5 linked regions of the Kluyveromyces lactis genome follow. The protein of the gene in region 3 interacts with the protein of the main gene of each other region in a pairwise test. Links are inferred from orthologs where the notes say so. Each region holds a gene or a part of one and is shown on either strand. Other genes may lie near its edges. The genes, in order: SIP3, SSN8, SNF1, RPI1 and KLLA0_B00583g.

Region 1 (4,166 bases), on a different chromosome or scaffold from region 3:
TAGAACATGTTTCAAAATTCGCGATTCATTCCCCAAAATCGATAAAACAGTTGCCTTGATGAATTTATCGATATAGTTTAATGATGATACAGGTTTTAATGAGTTTGAATTCACAAAAATAACGTTGTAATAAGTGTATAATGAACAAGATGAACCCGGGGTTTTCCTAATTTTGGTGTTATAGTCATTTTTAGGGTTATCGATTATCACATACTTCGTCTCAATGCAAAATAATTTAGTTAAAGGAAGAGAAAAGAAGCCTGTCTTTTGATCAATCTCATAATAAAAATTCTCAGACGTTTTTGTTAGAGTCTGTAAAATATCCATGTAACTGAAATCGGTGTTCGTCGACCGATGAACTTTATTATCAGAAATAAGTGCTCTGGCTAGTCTTAGACGAAATCTCATCTTCCGTACGAGCTCTTTAGTCTCTGGATTGATGAACCACGCACCTACAGCATCATGTTTGGTCTTCGATCTAGATAAAAACGTACATTCGTGGAAAACTGTTGATTTGTCACCAAACATTAAGTGAGCTAAGGCTCTGCTTGGAACGTGGAAATCCATTCTGAATATTGAATCATGCTCTAACTGGAATTTTTGCTGTCGCTGTCTCATGTTCATCTTGTCTATGTTCAAGCTTCGTACTAATGACATTTCAGGAATTAATGTCTTAGGATTGCTACTCTCTTTTCTAGCGAAAGTTGATTCGATATTGTCAAGCTTAATTATAAGTTGATCAATTCTCAGGTCGCTCTTCTGCAATGTAGTCTCCAATGCTCCCAATATTTTTTCGCTTAAGCAATATGGATCACAGTAGAAGGCCTCGACTACTATTTTCGATTTATTCTTCAAGTCAATTTCCAATTTTCCACTGTCCATCTCAAGTTCATTGGACACTACAGAGACTCCCACAATACTTTTGAAGGAATATTCATTTAAATACACGAATCCCATGAAATTAGTGTAGAAGTATAACATATTCGAAGTGGCAAACATCGTCGAGGGATACCGGCTCACTGAAGAAAAGGAGCATATGCAGGGTTCTTTAAATAGGAGAAGCTCACTGTCGCAAATTTCGATGTTGAGAAAGCCTGTAAAAAGAGTTCTGAAAAGTAAATCATCCGATTTAAGTTTCTCAGGATAGTATGCTGGGTAAGATATTGGGTTCCATGCATTATTATCGATCGGAAATTTGTCGTCTCTTGGATCAGTTAACCTGAAGGAATGACTTGTGGCAGTACAACCCCATATATTTGCTGGTATAGCACCCGAAAGACCTTGATCTTCGGTGAAAGCATTGGAAATAACGGCTAGTTTTGTAGCTTGAGTCATTACGGGGAATCGGAACGTGGGATTTTTGAAAACCCCAAAATCATTGGCAATATTAGGGTTAGCCTGAATAATATTGAGCAGTGAATGTGTCTGGTGTTCAGTAACTGATGTAGTCTGGAAATCAATCTCTGTAATAGATGAACAAGCAAACTCGATGAACAAGGGAGAAACACGGGAAAGGAGCATCGAATACTCAGGAGATTTGTTATCGAGCTTGTATGCCTCTTTTTTTGCGTAACTAAACAGCGTCAGCCATGAACTGAGTTCCTCAAGTGTTTCTGCCTGAAGAGTGAGGATTATGTCTTGCGATTCTGCAGTCTCATCCTTATTTATGATCCTCAAGTCAAAACAATATCTCCGGTCTTCGTGTGGATTGTAGTTGCAGGAAATTAATAAAACTCCGAATTTATCGCTTTCTTCAACAAATGTTTTTGAAGGTGATAGCATTAGCATACCAAACATTCCCCTTTCTAAAAAACACCATCGCTTTAGCCAGGTGAATCTTCCGCTTGCTTTTATTTTGGTTTTCACGTATAACCAACCAGACTTCTTATTTTCTGAAGGTTTCGTGTTCTTGATAAGTGCTGCGCTGTTGATATTTGTGATATCATATGTTCTTAAATCTTTTGATGGTTCAAAAGATGTTTCGCAATACTCGCATATCTGACTTTTTAGCTTTTGAAGATGTTCTGTGGAATTATCCAAGCAAATTGAAAGAGCTTGAGTCCATTTCCTGTAACGACTGAATTCTAATTCAAGCTCGTCTGATATATTGATACTGTACTTTGCATTTTTATTTTGAGCAGTTGAAGGAATTGTTGATGCTATCATCTTTGAGATCAATTCATCAAGTTTTATCTGGATAGTTCCTATACTCCATAATAAGTCAAAAGAAGCGTCCCGATATAGTTTTCTAATATCAAAGAGTTCTATCGCCTTCTCTCGGATGGATTCCGTATTCATCAAAGCTGATATCTTTAGTTCATGGTAGTTTTTATTTAACATGTCATATCTTCCTTGGTAATAATCAAAATTCTCCCTTACTTCCTTATAAGGCTTGACTACTTTCACCAAGATATCAAGATATGTTGAAAGGTATGTTTCAGGATTACCGTACATCAATGACGATATGCTAGATGCAAATGTTTTCAAGGCTAATTGAAACTCATTTACCATTGCTGGTGTATATGCTTGATTCTCAACTAAACCGTTATTCAAATACGGAAGAGGTGGGAGCAGTCTATCAATCATAGAGTCTTCATCTTTATTGAGTTCTGCGAGCCCTGATAAAGCCTGGTTCTTAGATAAATTCGTATTCTCTTGAATCCAGTTTTCCAAGGCAAGTACTTGCATATGGAAATGGTTGGCACTAGTTCTAAAGGATGGAGTATCTATTGAGGCTTCTTTGTAAGCCAAAGCTGTAAGCCTTGTCAGTTTGTCATTTCTTCTAGTTTCATATGCAGTCATAACTTTCGCAATAGGTTAGGGATGCCGCCTCGTTGTCCTGGTTTGTTTTGCTCTTAATCGTCAATCCATCAAATCTTACGCTTATATACTTTAAATATCTCTTTAAATATAATCTTTTTACAGAAACAAGTGACTTTGCTAACATAAAAGATCCAAAAAAAAACATACATACGAAACTCTGTTCACATTAATTCATTAGGTTTATTTAAGCAGTATGCTTGATTCGGTTCAGGTTGATGCTAATTAGACATTTTGTATGTAGCTAAAATCCTAAGTTGGCAAGGTTCTCTGTGACTTTAAGGTAAAAATGCAAAATGTCAATATCAGGGTTTTGAGGTTTCTTCAAAGTACCTTGCAGACGATATTGAAACTCTTTCTGTAATCGATTTTTCCAGTTTATTAAATCAGAGTGATCGACGTTCTCAAGCGTCCCCAAATAACGGCCCCATCTTGCACTTTGTATGCTTACCATTCCATCGTTAGGTACTCCGCCAGATAAATTTGATATCACGCACCATGACATATAAAACATGTTATACCATCGCGGTTTGAAACAGGCGCCATAACTGAAGTAAGCTACGCTAGGGTCATCCGGCGTTATTTTATTGAAATGTGAGCAATAGGTTGTCGTCAATTGGTAAAAAGCTGGAGGTAACAGCTTCTTTTTAGTATTGACATCAAAAGTTTGTGTCATATCACTGAATAGTCCTACCACATAATCAGCCATTTCAGAGCCATGGTGTGGCGTAGAAATCGTAGTTAGGCTGCAAACTTCGAAATTTTTATTCGGTATATGGGAGATGAGGTATCTACAATCCAATCCACCCATAGAATGTGCTATAAGGTTGACCTTAATCTTGTCTTCCTTTTTGAAAGATTTCGAGTTAACCTCATTAGTGTTGTATACGTCTCCTTTGGCTAAAGTCCTTTTGACTTTGCCCAATTCTGTATCAATGAAGGAATTTAATACCTTTGCTCTTTCTTCAATGCTACCGAAGCTTGGTACTTTGGCGGTAATTACAGTACAACCTCTTGCCTCCAAAGCTTCCCGAACCCCTATCCAGTAATCAACGTGTACTAAGGCGTCAGACTGAATGTCTTTGTCATCGTCTTCTTGCATAAATGAGTCTGAATGGTTGGATAGTATGCTAGCTTTGATCATTTTCGTTAACTGGAAAATCGAAGGTATCAATATCAGTTTATCGAAGCCAGAGAGTCCATGACATAATACAATCGGATATTTCGGGGCTTTGTATTGTTCTATTGGTGGTATACTCTTGATGACTCTATCTTTTACCAATCCTTCATCTTTCGCCTTCGAAAGAGGTATAAGTTCTTTCAGGAAGCTGAATCTATGGATGTAA
Region 2 (2,743 bases), on a different chromosome or scaffold from region 3:
GTAGTAGTTCCGTAAATGGAAAGCAAAGAAATACAAGAGATACTTACTCGATGGGAAAACCACACTAACAAGTAGATGATTCTAGTACTACACATGTTTACAACTCATAGCAAATGGTTAGCCGGACTCATACTAGATGGTGCGGTGCTAACAGCGTTCAAGAAAAAATCAAAACAGAGAAGATACATACAGTACTACTCTAGACCGCAGTCAATAACTCTTCTTTATCATCAAGGAAATTTGATCAGTACGTTTGTAAAAAGCAAGTCTCGTCCATGCTATATAAGCTCAGAGCTTGACTCTATGTTGCATTGTTATTTCATCACGTTAAAAATCCTAAAATGAAGAGGGAAAGATGACGGCTGGATCTTTTGAAATTCTTCCTTGTAGCACTTGATATGAGAGGATACTCAACTGAGTATAATCCAAGGCAATAAATGATACAATAATAAATAATCAGGGCAGCTTGGCATATTTGACTATGCGTAAGTATCGAAAAGTTCAAAATAAATTTGAAACGAATCCACTTCAAGCTGTTTGATGATTGAAAAAAGGATGGAGAGTTTCGTGAGCCGAGAAAGTAAGCTCCATTGGGTTACCCAAGCTACCTCCTCCCTAATCACCCCTGTAAACAGAAGTAACAAAAAAAGAGATAAAAACGCTCGGGCAATCGTCATAACTTTCGTTTAAAGTAAAGAAATACTTCAGTACCCAAGACACAGAGGCTTCTAAAACAGCCTCTGGATAGAAACCGTGACAGAAAACCAACACGATTAATGAGTTGATTTAAACATTTGAAAAGTTTTTAAATCTCATTACGTTTCCGCTTACGGACTGGTCGGAGACTTTCTACCCAAAGCTATAGAAATGATATCATTTCAATTGAACAGATAAAATCCGTTCCTTATGTAAGCTTCGATCAGTGACGATTCTTCGACTACAAAACCCTCGACTTACGAAACAAACAACAACAAAAGACAACACTAGAAAACATTTAATTAAAAGTAAGTGTTTGAAGTGCTGATGTTTGGTTCATATAGTTGAATGTTTAACTTTTTTCCAAAAAATTTTCAAAAAGGTTACCCGACTTCTTAACGACCTGAAATTTAGGGCTGCAACGGTCAGCTTATCATAATGTACTTGATGATGAATTGAAGAATAGCGAACGGTAAGGTAGTAAGAACCGAATCGGGTTAGGTACTTTGAACAAAGGATTCCGACAACAAAAGGCAGTACAAATTTCACTGGAGGATAAAAAATACCTTTCCCCCCCTTATTCATTGAACAGCTAGAAGATTATCTTTCCAAAATGAGCGCCTCATACTGGGATTCGAGTCAGAGGCACAAGTGGAAGTATACTAGGGAATCCTTGGCTAAGGAGAAGCAGAAACTCTGGCTGTTGGAATGCCAATTATTCCCACAAGGTTTGAATGTTACGATTCACGATTCGAAGGCGAACAAGCAGGTGACGACAAACATTCCGGTTACACAGCGAGATCTGCATTATGATCGAGACTACAATTTGAGGATATACTGCTATTTCCTTATAATGAAGTTGGGCAGGAGGCTCAATATACGGCAGTGTGCACTTGTTACAGCACATGTTTATTTGAGCCGATTTTTGCTTCGAGCTAGTGTCAGGGAAGTGAACCTGTATCTTTTAATCACCACCTGCATCTATTTGGCTTGCAAAGTGGAAGAATGTCCGCAGCATATAAGAACGCTAGTCAACGAGGCGAGGTCTCTATGGCCAGAGTTTATTCCACCGGATGTGACAAAAGTGACCGAGTTTGAGTTTTATTTAATCGAGGAATTGCAATCATATTTGATTGTACACCATCCGTACCGGTCTCTAGAACAGATCGAGAAGGCATTATCATCCGAAAAGTACAACTATAAACTCTCAGACGATGAGCTTCAGAAAATATGGTCGTTGATTAACGATAGTTATACGACCGATGTCCATTTACTCTATTCACCGCACGTGATCGCCATAAGTTGTCTATTTGCAGTGTCTTGCATCATTCACAAGCCAGAGGACAGTACAAAGCGTGCTAACATCAACATGTTCATCGCTGAAACTCAAGTTAATTTGGAACAAGTGATGTTTATCCTTCAAGAACTCATATCACTATACGACCATTGGGACAAATACAATGAACTGCGGATCAGAGCGCTCCTACACGAGTTATACCTCCGTCAACAAACACCAGCAATTCAGTGATTCTGAAGCCGAAAAGATTTCGTTCAGTTCACACCTGTACATACATAACAAATTACGTAGCATTCAAGATCAACCACGCATCAAGGATATATCGCATAAGAACGAAATGAAATTATATTGGACAACTCACGGAAGAATCACAGAAATGCAGACACTGAGAAATATACACATTGTACGCACAAAAAAAATTTAGTTCGCAATCACAGTCAACTAGAGGACAAGTAGAAGCCTCACTCCAAGAGCTGCATTTGCAACTTCTATTTCTCTTTAACACCAAAAATATCTTTGGCGAAGCGATATCTGCCAAATAATCTAGAGCTATTCATGCGCAGAAAAGAAAAAAAAAAGTGAACGAACGGCAATATGATTTCGAGAGTTAAACATGAAACTCGAAATCAAATCTTAACTAACAATGTTAACGTGTATTTATAAAGAGTAGAAGTAGGAAAAGTGGAAGCACAAGTTCAAAAGAAAGCGAGTCCAAAAGTTTAGTGAAGCAGAAGCAGAGTGTCTGTCATT
Region 3 (3,478 bases):
GTTATGTTGTCAGTTACTGCAAACGATTTACTGAAACTTCCGATATTCGCTCGCACAATAAACCAACTGAACCATTGAATATCAATCGTGTTAAGAAGCCAAAATTATTAAAAAACCTATCTGCATATCTGGATAGAAACATTTCAGAATTCCATTTTGCGCCTAAGGATGAGTGGCAGATATACTTGGGGGAACCATTGGAGAAAGAGAAGGATTTTTTGAGCTATTGGCTTGAAAACCAATCAAGATTTCCTGCATTGTGCAGTCTGGCTCTTGCCTTTTACCACACTAAGCTCTCAACTGCTGACGTCGAAAGGAGCTTCTCAATCAGTAAGCGTGTTTTAGATGATAGATTTTCTCTTGCTAGTTCCAATTTAAAAAGCACAATGATAGTAAGGAATCGCTTGATGTGTTTCAATTTGGGCTCAAAGATGCCTGTGACTGAACATATTGCAACGGACTCTTGGACGGATGACGAGGACGATATGGAGCATTCAAATTTTAGCCAACAATCATTCTACGATCCTGCCGCAGTCATCGATATTTACTCCAGTGACAGTAGTGATTGAAACTAATACATAGATAGCAGAATTTTGGAATCACCAGTTTATAATGAGGAAAATACGATATTAACGTTATTCCTAATTATAAAAGAGTAATTGGGGAAGATTAAAGATGTAATATATACATCTTGGTTCGTATATAATAGCCACTTATCGAGTGGTGATGTACTTTAATGTAGTGTCATAGCATATTGACGTAGTGAAGAATGGATTCGTGAATTGTCTGAATCCTCTCGTAAAACGTGACAGGATTGGTGACTGAAAATGGTCAATTCGCCGGACTCGTCCCAGTACGGTCTCCTACATAAGGTATCAGTCATCATCAACGATTTCTACGCCGTTTACATTTTGATGATAAAATTGAAAACTTGTCATATACGGAACATCAACAATAAAAGAAGGATCAATGCGTAATTGTAGGGCGGATAGAATTGGGTTTTGTGAGACTCCAGAAACGTCACACTAGTATAAGAATTGCAAGTTTTCTAACAAGTTAGTCAACTTCTCAATTAGAAGCAACTATTCTCAGAGTAAACAAGATATCCCTCTGTTGAACGCAAACTCTTAGTGAAGCATTTACGAGTACATACTCATCAGAGAAGATATGTCGCACGACCCAAATCAACAACAGCCGCATGGTGGCTCAGGTCAAGGCCATCACCAACGCCAGCTGACTAACCACGCACAAGGCCAACATATCGGTAAGTATCAAATCATCAAGACCTTGGGTGAAGGATCATTTGGTAAAGTGAAACTGGCGTACCATATCTCTACGGGACAAAAAGTGGCATTAAAAATCATCAATAAGAAGGTTCTAGCCAAGAGTGATATGCAAGGTAGAATCGAGAGAGAGATTTCGTACTTACGTTTGTTGAGACATCCACACATTATCAAATTGTATGACGTGATCAAATCGAAGGACGAAATTATCATGGTGATTGAGTATGCTGGTAATGAATTATTTGATTATATTGTCCAAAGAGACAAGATGCCTGAACAAGAAGCAAGAAGATTTTTCCAACAGATTATTAGCGCAGTAGATTATTGTCACCGTCATAAAATTGTGCATAGAGATTTGAAACCAGAGAATTTACTATTAGACGAACATTTGAACGTTAAGATTGCTGATTTTGGTTTATCTAATATAATGACAGATGGTAACTTTTTGAAGACTTCATGTGGTTCTCCAAATTATGCGGCCCCAGAAGTCATCAGCGGTAAACTATATGCAGGTCCAGAGGTTGACGTTTGGTCTTCAGGGGTTATCTTATACGTCATGTTGTGTCGTAGGTTACCATTCGATGACGAAAGTATCCCAGTGTTGTTTAAGAACATTAGCAATGGTGTTTACACCATACCTAACTTCCTTTCCCAAGGTGCTGCGAGCTTAATCAAAAAGATGCTCATCGTCAATCCAGTTAATAGAATTACCGTGCATGAAATCATGCAGGATGAATGGTTCAAAGTTGATTTACCCGACTACCTAGTTCCTGCTGAAAGCACCCATCAAGAAAACTCTGAAAGCAAAACAGAAGATGGCGGCCCATCCGTGCCACTCGAACTGATCGATGATTCGTTAGTTCAAACGCTATCAAACACTATGGGTTATGACGTAGATGAGATATATGAGGCTTTAGAGTCCGATGAAGATCATCCATCTTTAAATGAAATCAGGGATGCCTATCAGTTAATTAAAGAGAACAGAAATTTAATCAACGACATCAAGGTGAACAAGCAACAATCTAATGACTTGGATACTTTCTTATCGCAATCTCCACCCACTTTCGAACAATCCTTGCATGCCCCCCCGGGCTCAAAAAATCGACACTCACACCGCCATTCAAAGAGAACACAGCAACGTACATATCAATATCATTATGGAAATGGTTCTCAGGATGGAGACAGCACGATTGCAATTTTACCTAGCTCGTTACCACAGATCCATAGAGCCAACATGGTAGCACAAGGGTCCCAGGCTGCTGCTAAGATTTCACCATTAAGCGTGAAAAAATCAAAAACAAGGTGGCATTTCGGTATACGATCAAGATCCTATCCATTAGACGTTATGGGAGAAATATACATTGCATTGAAAAACTTGGGAGCCGAATGGGCGAAACCATCAGAAGAGGACCTATGGACTATTAGAGTCCGTTGGAGATATAATATCGATATGCCTGATGACGAAATGAAGAACAAGCAGATTCCAGATTTAATGAAGATGGTAATCCAATTGTTCCAAATTGAGACAAATAACTACTTAGTGGATTTCAAATTTGATGGCTGGGAGTCCAGTAACGGTGTAGTGTATTCAAGTCGGAACGACGATGAAATGAGTACGTTCAGTGCATACCCCTTTCTACATTTAGCAACCAGGCTGATTATGGAACTTGCAGTGAATAGCCAAGGAAGTTGATTTTAAGGTTCATGAAATTAAAAAAATACTAACGGATAATATCCAACGAAGAGTGTATATAAGTTTGAATATTTGCTTAAAGTTTAAGCCTTATATACATATCATTAAATAATGACAATCACTATATTATATGAGAAATTACTCTTAGCTCACAACACTCGCCGGGAAGAAGAGGAAAACAACATACATGTTTTTGACACATGAAAAAAGAATGCATCGGCCGGGAATCGAACCCGGGGCCCAACGATGGCAACGTTGGATTTTACCACTAAACCACCGATGCTACTTTGTTGTAGTTTTCGTAAGATAGACTGAAGACAGGCCAGACGAAGGGTCATGTGAGCTAGCCAGCACACGGCAGAGTTCCAAGACGTCAGTGACTGGGCATATGGATCCTGTGGTATCCAGAAGGGAAGGCCTAGATGGATCAAAGAGGGTCACGTGACAATATTTAGTGAAATTGGAATAGGCAGAAGCTGCGCATGACGAGTGGCTCATGAGA
Region 4 (4,244 bases), on a different chromosome or scaffold from region 3:
GTAGTTTGAGTATATAATTAAGCGCACTCTCTCAACATAAATAAAACACCGTAGCAAGTTAATCAATAGAAGCATTAAGCGCTGAGCGAGAGATCTACGCAGATGGATAAAACCAAGAAAAATTGTTGTTCTTCTAATTAATACTATTTACGTAGTGAAAAAAAAATATATATGCTGGTAGAGTGGTATTTTTAAGTTTAACCTCAATAAAAAAAATGAACTCCGAATATACCTAAGAGCACTTGAGCGATCACTCAGAATCAGAATCAGATCCAAATAAAAAGCTACCCGATGAAGGAGATTTTAATGGTGGTCTTCTTACCGTCGAATTGTGTTGAGATAAAGGTTCTCCAGTGATGAAGCTATGTGTCTGTTTTAAAACAGGAGATGCAGAATTGGAAGGTGTGATAAAATCATGAATGGAATTTGCTCTAGACTTCCCTATAGATGAGGTTCGCCTTAATGATAGTGGGTCTTTTGCAGTAAGCTCTAGTTCTTCACCGTTATCGTCATGCTCTTCGTCATCATGACTGAAACCAGGTTGGGAAGAATCTGCGATGAATTCGTTGTCCGGATGTTCATCGTTATCATCTTGTACCGGAAGGCTTTGATGGTATGTATATATTTTCCCTCTTGAGTCATCATCCATATATCCGTCATTCGCGTCCTGTATTGGAGTATCTAATCCAATGCCATCCGGTACATCGAGGATATCACACGAATTGTCCACAGTTACAAAGTTGGATGTATCCCCCGTGTAAACGGAATTATAATCATACATGTAGTCAAATCCTCTGCTAGTATTCACATTGTGTGATACTGCGTTACCATAATACCATTCATTTTCGTCTTCATCATAATATTCATCGTCAGATCCGTAGTTTAGAGTAGTGGCTGGAAGTGGTTTAATAGTTGCGTTTGGAAATTTGGATAGTGAGAGTGATCTTAAAGAATTTGCAACATCTGTGCCATCACTAGCCCCCGAATTGGTTCGATTTTTTCTAGTATGTGCACTGATAAATAACCCATCATCTTCGTCATCTTCGTCGTCATCTTCATCATAATCGTAGCTGTCAGCGTCTTCATCATCTTCGTCATCGGCGTAATCTTCGACGCTGTTGGCCCCTGAATTTCTATATCCATCGTCAAAGTCAGAATACTGATGCGAAGATCTGGCACCGTCCGACATATCGTCAGAGTGGTAATCGGTATTTGTCATTGGGACTTCGTCATCATTAGGATTAGCGTCTATGGGGTTATGATTAACCGCAATACATTGTTCGACACGGTCATTGAAATGAATATGTCTTTCCCTTTTTTGCTTTTGCTTCATCGATGATGTAAGAATCGATGATAATATGGGAGGATCAGATCTTGCGGATGGGGTTTCTATCACAGAGCCAGAGATTGGACCTGGAGTGGTATTTACTATCGACGAGTTTGTTTCGGTCACAACGGGCGAAATAGATTCCACCGATTCATCAGGCGGTGTATGGATATTTTTGTAATATTGTGCATTCACCTTCGCGGCAATAGCATCATAATCGTCATGCGTTGTCTGACTTGACTGCGGATCCAAAATAGCATGCAAGTCACTAGTTTGCTTTCTGTGCTGCCTTGCTATATCTAATCTCCATTTGGAGTTTTCCTCGATAATTTCACTAACAGTTCTCTTCTTTAGAATAGGTTTAGGACCGGGACTCTGAGACTTTTGGATCAACCTTTTTGAATTTTCATCATCGGAACCATACCCCATGGTGGCCGCATGATTGTTTCCTATTTCAACGTTGGAAGTGGGCTTTGATGACGACGTCGAGTTATTTTGATCGCCCACTACAATCGGACCGTATAACCAAGTTACATCAGAATCCTTTGACCAGTTCAAAGATTCTGGATTCACAGTTTTCAGATTATTTCTAGCCTTTGACCAAGTTCTCCAGGAAGCATTTTCCAACCTTGCAGCATTGATTAAATCTGTGTCCTTCCGTTTCTTTTTCAAAATGATATAACGCCATGACTGAGATATTTCGTTTTCGTTCCATTTATGAGATAAGTAATCCACATGTCTATTGGGTTCATACATCAAGTCGTTGTCATCATGATGAATTAGGAAATCGTCAGTACCCGGGTCTGGAGGAGAATTAGAATCTTCTACATCTTTGTAGTCGTAGTCGTAATCGTAATCTGCTTCGTAGTCATCGTCGTAGTTATCGACTTGCATGTTTTCGTCTGTGTAGTCTTCGTCGGTTCCGCCAACAGTTGTATTGTGTTTATTCAGCCCGGTGTCATTAAGCGTAGTATCATTACCGTCGTTATCGTCATTATAAGAAGTATTATTACTGTTTTTATTGATATTATCAGTTTTGTTTTCGTTGTCGTTGTTGTTGTTGTTGTTGTTGTTGTTGTTGTTGTTGTTGTTGTTGTTAATATTATTCATGCTCCCGCTACTGTCACCACTATTGAGGTCGTTACTCAAGCCATCGATGTTACTGTTAGAGAAGTTATCGGAATCAACAGAGCTCGAACCTGCCAGAAGTTTCTGAGTATCGTCGATGTATGGATCCAACAGTCCCATGGATCGTGTTCTTTTCAAATTGAACGTAGAATTCTTGAAATGGTCGTCGTCATCAGCATGAACCGCCATAGACACAGAAGGACCCATATCGTCGTAATTTGGGACTTGTTTATTTACACTGCTTGTTCCGTATTCATCATTCGATGAGCTTCTGTTCAATGCGACTCTACCCGGGGTAGCATTCCCCTGAGAAGCATTCCCCTGAGCAAAATACGCCGCTAAATTATTCTGCATAATGCAAAGCGTGCTGTGTTTATCTGGTAAAACCTTCTGAATATTATACTCTGCTGTCTTGTTCAACCGCGTGTGTATCACGCAGTAAAAAAGCTAGGTTGAATTATATCAAGTAAGCTCTGCTTGGATGGTAGAAGGTGATTCCTGCGATCCAAAAAAATTAATGGAATAATAAAATAAAATAAAACTGAGAACCAGACAACGAAAGAAGCCTAGGGTATCAAGCGTTATCAGACGCTATCCTTCAGTCCAACAGTAGTATAGTGAGAAATCTGATTTTGCCTAATGAAAGTAGACCAAATAGAAAAATCACACTATCGTTTAACTCTCCTTTATACCACAAATCGCTTCAGGAAAAATAAAGGACTCTCTCTCTGTTAAAGCAGATTGTAACTATCACTGAAAATGCTTAGCACAAAACAAAAATCGTCGAACGAGGCAATCAGAATACACACTTAAACCTGCTCTTCTTCCTATTCCCCCAAACCTTTACATTCTATATGTTCTATATGTTCTATATGTTCTTTGTTCTTTTTAAAAAGTGGATTTGAAAGCTCAAACCAAAGTCCAAAAGAAAAGGAAACCAAACTAAATTCCCAAAAAGAAAAACGAAAACAGAATAATGAGTACCGCTTGCCAGTATTGTTCAATAGAAAAGATCGAAAAGGAGGCAAAATTTGTCTATGACGCTTTGGTGCTTACGTCTTACAACAGACCGTGTTTAGACATGTAAGTAAAGTTACAGGGTAATAGAGTATAAACCGATCCTAGTATGGCGGACGCTATATTCTGTTGTGTTTGAATTTATTAATTTACTGAGGAAATACAACTCCTAGCTTTTTTTAATGGAGCTGGTTTCCAAGTTAATTATTCATTTCAATTTTTGGAAATTCTAACTTCCCAAGTTATACATGTATAGCGAGAAAAGAAAATCGCACGGTAGCGGAGCGTTTTGAGTTTGTCGAAGATGAAACGGGAACTGGAACATTTCAGTTGGCCCAGGGGCCAACTAAATTTCAAGGGATTATCCGTTGTTTAGCAGGACAAATTTTTTTTTTTTTTTGTTCATTTTTGTCACTTTGGTCAGTTCTGGATTTTACATGAGTTCTACCTTGATCTATACCATACACTGATTCAGTCAATAGTGGTGTCATCGATTCTTGTCATATGTCGAGACACATTATATAGTCATCTTGCATGATCGGAGCGGGCATCTACTCTCTTTTTATTAAATTTGACAGTACCAGTTACCGTGAATGTCAGTAGGATACATGTTATATAAGCCGAAAAGCTTGCCAGAAGACCTGCCAGAAAACTTCGGATTGATATTTTTTTTCTAGTACTCTGGCACGGTGCAAAGCACATGCTGGATCTGCCAAATCTTACTGTTATGTATCATATAGAGAGAGTATTTTGTATTCTAAAACTTTTGGAT
Region 5 (3,363 bases), on a different chromosome or scaffold from region 3:
ACCACGATTTGTCATGTCTTCCCCCCACTATCTTTCTTTCGTCTCTTTCCTGAATCGTTTAGTTCCTATTAACTTAAATGTGAAACATAATCCTTTCAAAAGCCTTATCAGGAAAGAGAAGATCCATCACAGAGTGAACTACTAGCCAGTTATACGATACAATATCCACCAATAAAGTCCAAAATAACAATAAATCACAAAACATAACAAACAAATTAACATGTCAACACCAAAAGAGTGCAACGACAGACCATATTTATGTGAAATTTGTGGGAACAGATTCCATAGGTTGGAACACAAGACAAGGCATATACGAACACACACAGGAGAAAAGCCTTTCGCATGCACGGTTCCTGGTTGTCCCAAGCGATTTAGCCGAAATGACGAATTAAAGAGACACATCAAAACACATTTCAAATCAAGAAAAAGAAAGCCAAGAACCATTAGACCTAAATCCAGATCATCCAGTCAGGTAAATCTAGCTCAAATGAATGAACAGGGTATTCCAGTTAATAATACCGATAAACTTATAGCCCCACAGCCAACTCTACCTGCTATGATCCCTGTGCCATATCATTTACAAACTTCAATGTACTTAGACGTGGAAAAACCAGCCCAGTTTGCTCCAATATCTCAGAATTCCAGTAGCAGCTTGGTGAACACTATTTTCACGGAACACAGCGACATGAGCTCGTCGAGGCTAAGTAGCCTAACAAACTCACCAAACCTGGTAGCTTCGTCATCAGGTGCTCATGAAGACCACTACCTACACACCATGTCAAGCAAGAATCTGTTAACAGCCTTGAGTGCACTTCAAGGAATGACCCCAATACGAAAAAGCAACTCATTACAGGACTTACAACCCCACGATACAAACCTCGAGGAGAGAAAGAACTGCAGCTACTTATCTATATCATCACTACTCAACCCTAAGAATTGAAAACACTAGATAAATTCAACAATGACGTTGATAGACAATATTGTTAGTTATTCCAAAATACCCTCTTAGTTGAAGGATGAGAACTTTTATAAACCTTATATACTTATGCAAATTCTCATCATGAGATAGAATTGATAGACTTTCCAACTATGGAGAAGAACTGTGCCTTTCTCGGCACTATAGATTTCGTACCGATAAGGTCCTTTACCCTCTGTTTCATGTCACGTGAACGAAGTTTCCATCTGTTTATTTTGTCCTTTTTCGAATTTCTGCAAATTGATCAATCAAGAAAACACATAATATATATATATATATCGAAATCCCCAGATAACAACATTGTTTCTGAAAGTTCAAATAATGCATAAAGTAGCACCGACGGCACATTTGGTAACTATTTGGCGGAGGTAGCATAGAGGAAAACGTTCAAAAGTACCAAGAGACTACCTGAAGAACTTAATGGGGAATTTACCCAGTCATTCCAACAGACCACATCACAAACATCCATCAACTATGTCTCAGAACGTTAAAGATGTCTCTATGGTTGACATCAATGAAGCTATGAATGAAAGACAGGATGACACTTCAAATAAGGTCGAAACCCCAGGAGCATCCTCGAACCTTACCCAATCTCTATCACAAATGAACATTGATGACAGAAATGAGTTAACACCACAGCTTTCATCCAGAAAATCCACGTTGATATTTAATGACGACTTCGATGATATTTCGAATCAGCATAAGCACATTGAACACCAGAATAATTACGACGACGGAAGAATCATCACTGACAATGAAGATGAGGATGAGGATGTTGTGAATAATATCATAACAGGACCCTCTGATGGATCTGCATCCTCGCTTTCAGCAGATTCGCCAGCTGCCAGTTCACACAGCGAAGATGGAAGACATCAAAATTCAGCATACACTAACAACTCTCAAGAACAACATGCCAACAAAGTTTCAGGAAATCATTACGATGGGAACGTACAACATCCAGGCCCTGCTATTAATCAGCAGACGCAACCGGTACCTGAACGTAGACCTACCATGGTTCCTGTTGAGATAACGTGGCAACAAGGCGGTTCCAAGGTCTATGTAACAGGTTCCTTCACTGGCTGGCGTAAGATGATTGGCCTTGTACCTGTTACTGACAAACCTGGAGTTTTCCATATCAAGTTACAATTACCTCCCGGTACTCACAGATTTAGATTCATCGTTGATAATGAACTCCGGTTCAGCGACTTTCTTCCCACTGCAACTGATCAGATGGGTAATTTTGTTAATTATCTTGAAATTGTTCCACCTGAGTCGATGCAAATGATGAATTATGAACTGGATGCCCAACAACAGACACAGCAAAAGCAAAATATGCAAAATCAACAACTCTCAGATAATGTTTCTCAATCTCAGAAAATTCGCGATCAAACCATCCAGTCACAGGTTAGAAGGCAACCATCTCAAAGTAAAGATGGCAAATTAAGTGCCAGATCCCAGCTTGCTTTGCATATTGAAGAAGACCCTGATGATATGGGAAACGGATACACCCGTTTCAAAGAGGAACAACAGCTAAAGACCGATTATGAGTATACTCAGGATATCCCTGCTGTCTTTACAGATCCTTCGGTGATGGAACAGTATTATCTCACATTAGACCAGCAACAGAACAATCAACAAAATATGTCATGGTTAACTCCTCCACAACTTCCACCTCAGTTGGAGAATGTTATTCTCAATAATTACAACAAAAATGCTGAACCAGGTAGTGAAAATAATTCAGGTGCGTTGCCAATTCCTAACCACGTCGTTCTTAATCATTTAGCAACGTCTTCTATTAAACATAATACTTTATGTGTTGCTAGCATCGTTAGATACAAAAGAAAATATGCAACACAGATACTATATGCGCCATTGCAATGAAACCACTCCTAGAGATTTGATTTTATATTTTTTACACTGAAATATCATAAGCGAAGTTCTTATGGGTTGAATATAAAACGTACACCATACCGAATTTCAATAAAATGCAGCAAAAAAAACGTAGACTTTGAGTCGCGTGCTAATAATACCGCACAATACTTCTACAATAAGACTTATCATGCTGATTCTAAGGTTAATCTTATTATATAAGTTACACATCTATATGCTTGGTTATTTCTTAGACTTTTTAGATTTCGCACTTTTTTTTTTTTCTTGTTGTAGCTCCACCATTTTATCGAGCTTTTGCTTTACCCTTTCTAACGATAGTTTAATGTCACCTTTTTGGAAGTGATCGAGGTCATAATAAGCTGGTGCTAATTCTATTAACCATTCAGGTCTAACTGATGTTACAGTTCTAATGTAGTTTTTGGAGGTTAGAACGAATTCATTGTATACAACCCATTCGGCATCATGGCCCAAAACAGTTGAAGGATGTATCAAAACAT

The links.
Region 1: the proteins of SNF1 (region 3) and SIP3 interact in a two-hybrid assay, tested with the Saccharomyces cerevisiae proteins (2 studies listed by BioGRID). The link is inferred for Kluyveromyces lactis from reciprocal best matches to the Saccharomyces cerevisiae genes SNF1 and SIP3.
Region 2: the proteins of SNF1 (region 3) and SSN8 interact in a two-hybrid assay, tested with the Saccharomyces cerevisiae proteins (2 studies listed by BioGRID, with this or other methods). The link is inferred for Kluyveromyces lactis from reciprocal best matches to the Saccharomyces cerevisiae genes SNF1 and SSN8.
Region 4: the proteins of SNF1 (region 3) and RPI1 interact in binary tests that used the Saccharomyces cerevisiae proteins (3 or more experiments, as listed by UniProt). The link is inferred for Kluyveromyces lactis from reciprocal best matches to the Saccharomyces cerevisiae genes SNF1 and REG1.
Region 5: the proteins of SNF1 (region 3) and KLLA0_B00583g interact in binary tests that used the Saccharomyces cerevisiae proteins (3 or more experiments, as listed by UniProt). The link is inferred for Kluyveromyces lactis from reciprocal best matches to the Saccharomyces cerevisiae genes SNF1 and GAL83.

What each region holds. Positions count from the first base shown.
Region 1 is NC_006039.1:243,707-247,872, forward strand, and holds the start of SIP3 (Sip3p), read right to left. Parts: upstream 2,803-4,166; coding exon 1-2,802. Other genes in the region: TGL2 (triglyceride lipase), read right to left, coding at 3,065-4,166. UniProt on the Saccharomyces cerevisiae protein: May be involved in sterol transfer between intracellular membranes.
Region 2 is NC_006041.1:737,292-740,034, reverse strand, and holds SSN8 (cyclin-dependent protein serine/threonine kinase regulator SSN8), read left to right. Parts: upstream 1-1,309; coding exon 1,310-2,224; downstream 2,225-2,743. UniProt on the Saccharomyces cerevisiae protein: Component of the SRB8-11 complex. The SRB8-11 complex is a regulatory module of the Mediator complex which is itself involved in regulation of basal and activated RNA polymerase II-dependent transcription.
Region 3 is NC_006037.1:338,305-341,782, reverse strand, and holds SNF1 (AMP-activated serine/threonine-protein kinase catalytic subunit SNF1), read left to right. Parts: upstream 1-1,167; coding exon 1,168-2,976; downstream 2,977-3,478. UniProt on the Saccharomyces cerevisiae protein: Serine/threonine protein kinase essential for release from glucose repression.
Region 4 is NC_006042.1:411,725-415,968, reverse strand, and holds RPI1 (protein phosphatase regulator REG1), read right to left. Parts: upstream 2,810-4,244; coding exon 251-2,809; downstream 1-250. Other genes in the region: KLLA0_F04323g (uncharacterized protein), read right to left, coding at 4,230-4,244. UniProt on the Saccharomyces cerevisiae protein: Involved in RNA processing and negative regulation of glucose repression. Regulates the level of two antigens, P43 and P70. Binds to protein phosphatase type 1. Functions with REG2 and SNF1 protein kinase to regulate growth.
Region 5 is NC_006038.1:44,313-47,675, reverse strand, and holds KLLA0_B00583g (protein kinase subunit beta), read left to right. Parts: upstream 1-1,396; coding exon 1,397-2,857; downstream 2,858-3,363. Other genes in the region: DEAH-box ATP-dependent RNA helicase PRP43, read right to left, coding at 3,089-3,363. UniProt on the Saccharomyces cerevisiae protein: Beta subunit of the SNF1 kinase complex, which is required for transcriptional, metabolic, and developmental adaptations in response to glucose limitation.